Linked DNA regions of Cricetulus griseus. The protein of the gene in region 2 binds, or shares a complex with, the protein of the main gene of each other region. Links are inferred from orthologs where the notes say so. Each region holds a gene or a part of one and is shown on either strand. Other genes may lie near its edges.

The links. The genes of interacting proteins can lie anywhere in the genome.
Region 1: Sart1 (region 2) and Prpf4 share a complex: the UniProt entries of both Homo sapiens proteins name them as parts of the U4/U6-U5 tri-snRNP complex. The link is inferred for Cricetulus griseus from reciprocal best matches to the Homo sapiens genes SART1 and PRPF4.

Annotation. Positions count from the first base shown.
Region 1 is NC_048595.1:83,449,748-83,453,778, forward strand, and holds part of Prpf4 (U4/U6 small nuclear ribonucleoprotein Prp4), read right to left. Parts: intron 3,439-4,031; coding exon 3,315-3,438; intron 1,987-3,314; coding exon 1,897-1,986; intron 1-1,896. UniProt on the Homo sapiens protein: Plays a role in pre-mRNA splicing as component of the U4/U6-U5 tri-snRNP complex that is involved in spliceosome assembly, and as component of the precatalytic spliceosome (spliceosome B complex).
Region 2 is NC_048596.1:53,945,505-53,950,277, reverse strand, and holds the start of Sart1 (U4/U6.U5 tri-snRNP-associated protein 1), read right to left. Parts: upstream 3,215-4,773; 5' UTR 3,139-3,214; coding exon 2,826-3,138; intron 684-2,825; coding exon 626-683; intron 267-625; coding exon 211-266; intron 1-210. UniProt on the Homo sapiens protein: Plays a role in mRNA splicing as a component of the U4/U6-U5 tri-snRNP, one of the building blocks of the spliceosome. May also bind to DNA.

The DNA.
Region 1 (4,031 bases), on a different chromosome or scaffold from region 2:
ACTGGGAGACCAAGAACATTTTGTACTTTGCTTTAGCAGGTATTTTCAAAAAGAATTCCCTGGTTTGGGGTTTGGGCTCAATAGTAGGGGGCAGGGCTTGCCTCGTATGTGCAGGGCCCTGGGTTCAACCACCAGCACAAACAAAAACAAAATTCTTAAAGAACAGTTTGGCAAAGACTGCATTTTTTTTTCCTCTCCTCATTCTATTGTTATATCCCTTCATCCATCAAGCAAGCATTTGTATATTTATTGGGCATAAAAAAAAATTCAGATGGACAAATAGAGCAGATACAGAAAAAGACCCAAATATATATGATCAGCTTTCATTAGGGTGCTAAAACAATTTTAATAGAAATCTTCAATGATGGCAACAAACAGGCTATGGCGGTACAAATACAGAAAAAAATAAACTCAAGAAGGGCAAAGCACATGGCAAAATACTCAACAGCAACAGCTGTCAGGGCAGTTAACACTAATATAAGGTTTACTATGTGCCAGCTACAATGGGTGAGATAAAAGACCAACACAGCAAACATTGACAAAGATATGAAATAGACTCAGTTGTTCACATGTTTTTATTCTGGGGAATGGGGTCCTACTATGAAGCCCAGGCTGGCTTCAAACTCAAGATCCCCCTGCTGGGTTCAGGCACTGGGTTCAGGCACTGAACCCAGCTTGCCTGAATGTTTTTAGAAAGCTAAATATACATTTACTCTATGAACTAGCAACTGTACTCCTTAGTATTTACCCAAGAGAAAGGGGGGAAAAAAAACCCAACCCCAAACAATATAAAACGCTCCAATAAGAATATTTAATTAGTCAGGGATAGAGAGATGGCTTAGTGGTTAAGAGCATGGGCTGCTCTTCCAGAGGACCCAGGTCTGAGTCCTAGCACCCACATGACAGCTCACAACCTTGTGCAACTCTAATTCTAGATGATCCAATGCACCTTCTCAGCTTCTGGGCATGAAGCACATAGACACACATTAAAAGACAAGAGAATATTTATAGTGGCTTTATCTTGACTAGCCACAACCCAGAAACATGCCCATGTGTCCATCAATAGGAGAACGCATAAACTGGAACAGACACACAATAGACTACACTCAGCTTAATAGCACAAATGGGTATAAACAGGCAGAACGAACAAATCAAGTCAGCGGCTGCTCTGGAAGGGGAGAGTGAGAAGGGGCTCGAAGAGAGCTCTGCTGGCTGAGAGAGACTACTGGTAAGGGCGTGGGTCATAAGCAGTAGGCACTTGTACAATAAAACCACCCCATTCTATTGTACGTTACTCAAACCTCAAAGAAAAAAGTTTTAGTAGAACTAAGCCTCACTAAACTTACAGAACCAGAAAAAGAAGTCAAGGTGTTGGCACAGAGAAATTTTATATATTAGTGTTTCTATTTTACTTATTATTATTTTTTTTTTTTTCAAAACAGGGTCTCTGTGTAGCCCTAGCTGTCTTGAGCTTCCCTTTAGATCATGCTGGCCTTGAACTTACAGAGATCCACCTGTCTCTGCCCTGAGTGCTGGGATTAAAAAGTGTCTGCCACACTGCCCAGCTCTATTTTATTTTTTAAAAAGGTCTTGCTATGTAGCTCAGGCTGGCCCTAAGCTTGTGATCTTCTTGCTTTAGCCTGCTGAGTGTTAGGATTGTAGGTTTGTGCCATCACACCTAGCTGAGAGAGATTTCAATATAACGTGTAGCACACTCAGTAAGATTTAAAAGGAAATATATTTAAAAATATTTGACTTTTTTTCTGATTCTATTACTTAAGTTTGAGAAAGTTCTAATCAAGATCCTTGCTCTAAATATTTACCTGGCAGATAACTGAAAAGGATTATCAAAACCAACAGGCTTGTACACAAACTGGACACTAATGGATGGCTTACCAGGTCGTGCCCAGGAAACGCCCTGATGGATGCCACATTACCCGAGCCACACGAACCGTATGGCCTTCAATATCTGCCACTGGTTCATCACTGAAAGGAACCAAATATATTCAGGGGTTAAACACCTTGACAGCCATGAACAACCCTCTCAGTTTATTTGCTGCTGTGCAGGTACGCCCACTCTGTAGTTTGTACACAAGTATCACCATGCACTTTCTACACTGAGCAGCACAGGGGGCTGACTGCACCCTGCACAAGGTTCTGTGCTAACTTTGTTACTGTACCTACAATGTGTTACAATCTTAGGGATAACAATCATTTAAGCTACTTGTTAAGGTTCTGAAACATGGAGGATTATTTCTTCAACCACAACGCAAAGTGATCACTATTTTAATTCAGTGCGTTAATAAATTCTCCACGATGAGCAAAATAGTTCCACTGCTTCAAAATAGTGCATGGATTCAAAAAAGAAAATATACTTTGGTAGAGGTGTGGATACTGAAATCAGTTTTGGTCCAATGGGTTCCGGACTTATTTAACCGTTATCCCGTTCAAAGATCCAAATTAAAAAAGAACTCCTAAGCTAGAATGACTCAGTGTCCTCTGGATGGCCAATAATTTCTGCTACCTAGCAACAACACAAAGGCTGAAACTCTAGAGAGAGGAAATAAACATGAGCCTAAACAGGGCAATTAGAAGGGAGTGCTGTCAATGAGTACACACAGACCCAACCAGGGCCCTATGGGGATAAGTGTTGCTAAATATTACGAAAGCCAATTAAAACTTGCCATGCTACTAGCTGAGACCCTATCTGGCAAAGATTGTAGATGCTAATTAGTGCTTTGGAAAATTTTGTAATAAAAACCTTGCTATGCTTTCTCTAGGAAAGAAAAATGGACATTCAAAAAGTCTTTCAGATCACAGTATGTTTCCAAAATTGAGAAGACAAGTAAAAACATCCATATGAAGAAAGAAAACGTGCTGTGGTTGTAAAATACACTGGTAAAGGATACCAGTGGCCTGTACTGCCAGATAGAACCTCACTTTTCCTCTCCTCTGTGGCCATGTGCATAGATCCAAGAGGCTGCCAAGATGATTATCTTTAGCCCATCCACAAAACTTCGTTTTGCTAATGCTAACCTACCATGTAGATTAAACTGGGTTGTTTTAGAATGGGAGCTGGGAATCAGTGACTTATTATGCTAAAGGCAAAAACTGAGGACTAAAAGTAAGCAAGGAAAGAAAATCCCAGTATAACTTCTTTGAACAGAAAAGGTCTAAGAAAGACATCTTCTATTTTCAGTGAGTTCCCTGGACTCTTGAAGCATGTCTGGGGTTAAATATCCCATTTTCAAACCTAAAGGGCTAGCCAACCACTTTCTTTAGGGATGGCACTGTGGACTGCAGAAGGGAATCACCTGTCCAGACTCCAAAGCTTCACAGAACCATCAGCAGCACAAGAAGCCAAGTTGACATCCTTTTGGTCCAATGAGACAGTAGATTTAGGATGGAACACAATTGCTCCTACATTTGTGTTATGGCCTAAAGAGTTAAAGGAGAGCAGAGTTAGAGGGTTCTTACCTCTTCATAATCTATGAGCAAACAGAGACTATATGAAGAACACAGAAAAGTACATACTAGGGAATGTGAGCAGGCAGAATTAAAGTGACTAGTTAACTACTAACCCCCCCAAAAAACAAACAAACAAACAAAAAAACACATTTAGTTATTTTTGAGACAGGGTGTCTTTATGTAGTTCTGGCTGGCCTGAAACTTGCTTTGCAGACCAGGCTGACTTTGAATTTACAAAGATCTATCTACCTCTGCCTCCTGAGTGATGAGATTAAGGTGTGTCCACCATACCCAGCTATTTATTTATTTTAAAATTATGTATGTGTGTGTGAGAATGTGCACATGAACACAGGTGCTATGGAGGTCATTAGAGCCAGAATTATAGGCAGTTGTAAGCCACCTGATGTGGGTTCTGGGAACTAAACTCAGGTTCTATGTAAAGGTAATGCATGTTTTTAGCTGCTTAGCCTTCTCTGTAGCCCCAAAAAGAATTGTTTTAAACAAATACTCAAATTGAATTTTTTTTTGGAATTTAGAAAAAAACAGGGCAAAAAATGGCATAG
Region 2 (4,773 bases):
AGCCTACAGCAACTGTGCATAGACCTGTCTAAAGCCAGGGTGAAGGTGCCAAGGCCACACTGGAAAAGCACATCTCAGATCCTCTCAAGACACAAAGGACAAGTCTTGGCCCTCTGACAAAACATACATGGAGTTGCCTCTGCATGCTAAGCCCAACTTTCTTCCCACTTAGATGCCCCAGCTCAGCCCTCTCCTCAACTTTATACTCACCTTTCTTGACAGCATTGACCTCCAAGGGTTTCAGCCCCAACTTTGCACGGAGTTTGCTGAAGACAAGAGATAGAAGTATTAGGGTCTACCTTAAGAAATGTGATAACAAGTACATTTATGGAGGTGAAAACAAGGTGAGAATGAGTGGTTCTAGGGTAATAAGTACAGCCCCTAATCCTGGCAGCTTAGGGCATGAAGAAGACACAGGCTTCCAGAACAGGCTTCCTGACTGGGGAAGACTATCCTTCCTCTTGGGTCTCAGTTTCTTCCACGTAGCTCCTATGGTTGGCAGTATGACTCATCTGGCCATTCCAATTCTAACTGGCTTCATTTAGATTGAAAAAGTTTCTATAGGTAACAGCCCCAGGTGCAACCAGTCTCAGAGGAAAATCAAAACAGCATAAGGGCTACTCACTTGGTCTCCTCGATGCTAAGTGACGAGGCATCTCCAGAGCTAGTTTTGGAGCTGGCAGCTAGAACAATAAGGAGCACGGCTTAAGGAACCCATGAACATGGGACCAAGAAGCAACATCATGGTCTTCAGTTGCAAGGTCGAAGACAAGGGCCCCCACCAGCACCTGGGTAGATGACACCAGAAAACAGCAGCCTTCTTCCCCCAGGGTTCCCTGCAGCTGCTACCCAGGCCCTTATCTTTTTTCTGCATCCCTCACTGTGCCACTCCAAATCTCCACACTCTACCTTCAGCCTCCACAGTCCCTTCTGCTCTTGTTCTCATAAAGTTCTATCAAAAGAGCAAGTATCATCTCCTCCATGAAGCCCTGCTCAATTACTGACCAGAATTAAAACTCTGCCTAGAACGGCACAGCACTGCTTGTCATTTCTGGCACTTTCTGCCCACAGCAGTGTATGGAATACTTACTAGTGTGTGTTCCATGCCAGATGCTATGGACATAGGAAAGGAAGCACTCTGGACCTGATCTATCCACCCCACAAACAGGAGAGAACTTCAATAAACACTATACAGAGGAAGATGCCACCAGGATGCCCAAGTCCCCTGTCACACACTACTCACTGCTCTTTAAACCCTTCCTCCTCCACCTAGGCTCTGGACCCCATTTTCTATATGAACTCTCAAGTCTCAAGTCTCCCTTTTTCCAATTAGCAGATTATTAAAAAAAAAAAAAAAGTTTCAATTTAGGGGCTGGGGAGATGTCTCAGTGGATAAGAGCACTTGCTGTTCTTACAGAGGACCCAGGTTTGGTTCCCATAATCTATATGGCATCTCACAACCACCTAACTCATTTTCAGGGGATCCAATGTCCTCCTCTGAACCTCCACAGGCACTAGGAATGCACCAAGTGCATATTCACATATGGAGGTAAAACACTCAAATGCATAAAATGAAAACAACCCTTTGTTTACAAGTTCTGGTTCTGCATAATGCCCTGTGGTGTGTGATGCTCTTAACCACTCTGTCTTTTCAACAATCATCTCTTTGTACAGATCCTATGACCCAACTGTAGTGTTCTTGCCATTTGGCTACTCTTTATTTTTTAAGTATGTTTCTCTGCCCACAATTGAGCTATTGGCATTTACTAAGTTCTATTTCTGATCCTAGTTCTCACTCCACACACTCTAGGGCACTTTGGATTCCTGAATACACACTAGCCTCAAATCACTCTATCCCACTTAAACTGTAGGTTTTCCCATACACACTGACCAAAGCTCTCCCAAACTGGGTCATTCTCCCTTGCCTCAAATCTGCTAGTCTTCTAAACACCAACTTCAACAGATGAAAACCATTCACCAGGCGGGTAAGGTCAAAACTCCAGGAGGCATTCCCTGTTCCTCATCCCTCCCATCCCCTTAGCCCACGCACTAAATTTTGTTCATTGCACTTCCTAAACACCTATTCAATCTTTCCAGTCTCTCCACCCTACTGCATGGAGAAACATGCATACTCACTGTTAGTCCTCACCTGGTTGGGTTGACCTCCCTCCTAATCTCAGGGTCTGTAGTCCTATTTTTGACAAGCTCTCAACCCAGAGATCCTTTTTTTTTTTTTTTTTTTTTTTTGTTTTTCGAGACAGGGTTTCTCTGTGTAGCTTTGGAGCCTATCCTGGCAGTCACTCTGGAGACCAGGCTGGCCTCGAACTCACAGAGATCTGCCTGCCTCTGCCTCCCGAGTGCTGGCATTAAAGGCGTGCGCCACCAATGCCCAGCTCAATCCAGTGTGATCTTAACATATGAAGTAAATCAACCCACTTCCCTACTCAAATCCTCGACTCCCTACCGTCTTCATCACAAAGCCCAAATTTCTCAACAGAGCTTACAGCACAGGGTCCTTGGTGTTCAGACCCAAGCGTATCTTACTGCTTCATGACGATTCCACCTACTGTCAGGTTTCTCTTGCCTCTGTCTGTGCATGCTCGCACCTCCTCCTTTCGCCCACCCACCGCATTTACTGTCAAGTGCCAGACGGGAAGGGGAAACGCAAGACCCCGGTCCTTCCGAAGCTTAACATGGGGAGTCAGTCTTTAGTCCCCAACAGCCGGAGCAAGTCTTCAGCCCGAGAGGCACAGGCCCTGGCGGTCACCCTGCACCCTCCGTCCCGCGCACCCCAGGCCCCTGCCCCGCCCCCGCCCCGCCCTCACCGGCCTCGTAGCCGTCATCGCGTTTCTCTCGCTTCACGCGCCGCTCCGAGGGCTCCGCTTGACTTCGTTCGCGACCGTGCGCGCCGCCGCGGGCCTCGGCTTCGGCCCCGCGCCTCCCGCTCCCGCGCTCGCCCCCACGCTCGCGGCTCCGCTTCCGTCGTTCGCCGCCGCTGCTGCCGCCGCCGCTGCTGCGATGTTTGTGTTTCTTGTGCTCTCGATGCCGCGGCGGCTGCTCGGTGGCGCCCCCGGTACCGGCCGCCGCCGTCGTCCCCGCCGCCTCCTTCTCCCCGCGGTGCTTCTTTGACGACCCCATGACTAGTGCGTCCGTCTGGAGCCGGGCCGCCACCCGAGCCCAGACGACGCAAAATGGGAATACTTCCGGGTCGTGCGGCCGCCGCTGCGCTGTTGCCGGAAACTAAGAGCGGCTGCTTCCGGGGCCGGCCTGGGAACCTCCAGAGGCTCATGGGAGGGACGGGTTGAGACTGCGCATTCCCGGCTCCCGGGGACTGGCTCTGCGCATGTGCACCTGTAGAGGCTACGGGGTCGGCATTGGCTCTCCCGGGTTAGAACTGTAACAGCTTTGGAATCGTGCTAAAAGCCACCGTCTGCGGAGCTGGGAGCTCTTTCCCTGACCTTTCCACTCCGAGAGCCTCGTGGCGCTCTGTGCCTCAAGCCTCTTCGTGGGCGTCCCCTCCTCCAGTGATTGTCCTTCTCGTAGGCTCCCCGGGGCCGGGGATCCGTCCGGGGTTGGAAGATACCGCATGTTTTCTTCTTGAAGAAACCAGCTGCAAAGCCCCAGACTTGCAACCCCAATAAACCACTGTTGCCAGCGAATGCTACCGTCGCCCACTTTCCCTGGATTGGTAGATTGGGTCTTTTTAACCTGAGCTCTGGACTGCTACGGAACACTATGAATTTGTGCCTGTGAACCCCGTGAAATTGAGTGCTGTTTTTGTTTCTAATTTTCTTTTTAAGATAGGGTCTATATAGGTCTGGTTGGCCTAGTGCTTGTTACGTAGCCCTGGCAGGTCTCGAACCCTCTGGTTCAGCCTCCCGTGTGCTGCGAGTGGCCGGGATTTCAGGCATGCTCGCCCAAGCCAGGCTCAAGTGCAAATTGGGCAGATCCGTTTTTCTTTTGCCTGCCTGCCTTCCTTCCTCCCTTCCTTCTTCCCTCCCTCCCTCCCCCCCCCTCTCTCTTTCCTTCCTCTGTCCCGTTAACTATGTGGCCTCAGTCCGGGATTACAGGCACAAGCCACAATGCCTTGCTTTCCCAGCCTTTTCTCTCTTCCTGGGCTTTTTTATTTGGTTGATTGCTTGTTTGGTTTGGTTGTTTTGTTTTGGTCTTGAGGAGATGAGCTTTAAAGTTAAGGATTCACACACTCCCTTCTGCTACTAGTTGCTCCTCTGTGGGTTTCCTGTGTAGCACACCTCGGCGTGTTTTGGTATGGTTTTCCTGCTCCTTTACGGCTCTGCTCTACTACTGAGTCTTCAGAGGTGGACCTGTTCACTAGCATTTCTAGGTGTCCCACTCAGTAGCAGAGACAGCATGTGTTTGCCGAGGAAGGGGTGCAGCCAGGGTTCCCAGAATATGTGGGAAGTAGCTAAGTCCAGGCCACCCACTTACCACTGCCCCCCCCCCGCCCCACAATGCATAACCAACTCCCGTCAGAAGTCTCACACCATACTTGCCATAAGCATTTAATTTTTATCTCAGGGACTGTGCTGGGTTCAGGGTCGGGGAGGAGAGTCTTCCAGACTGATGGCTGGTGGCTTCTATCTTTGGGGGGTTCTGAAAAGAGTGCTCCATTTCTACTCCAAATGACCGGTGGCTCCTTAAAAACACAGATGGAGGCCATTGGGCTACAGCACCCACCTCCATGCCCAATGCAGCCTTTTACCCTGTGGGTCCCTGGGAAGTGACACTCTACTGAAATCTAGGGGTTTTGTT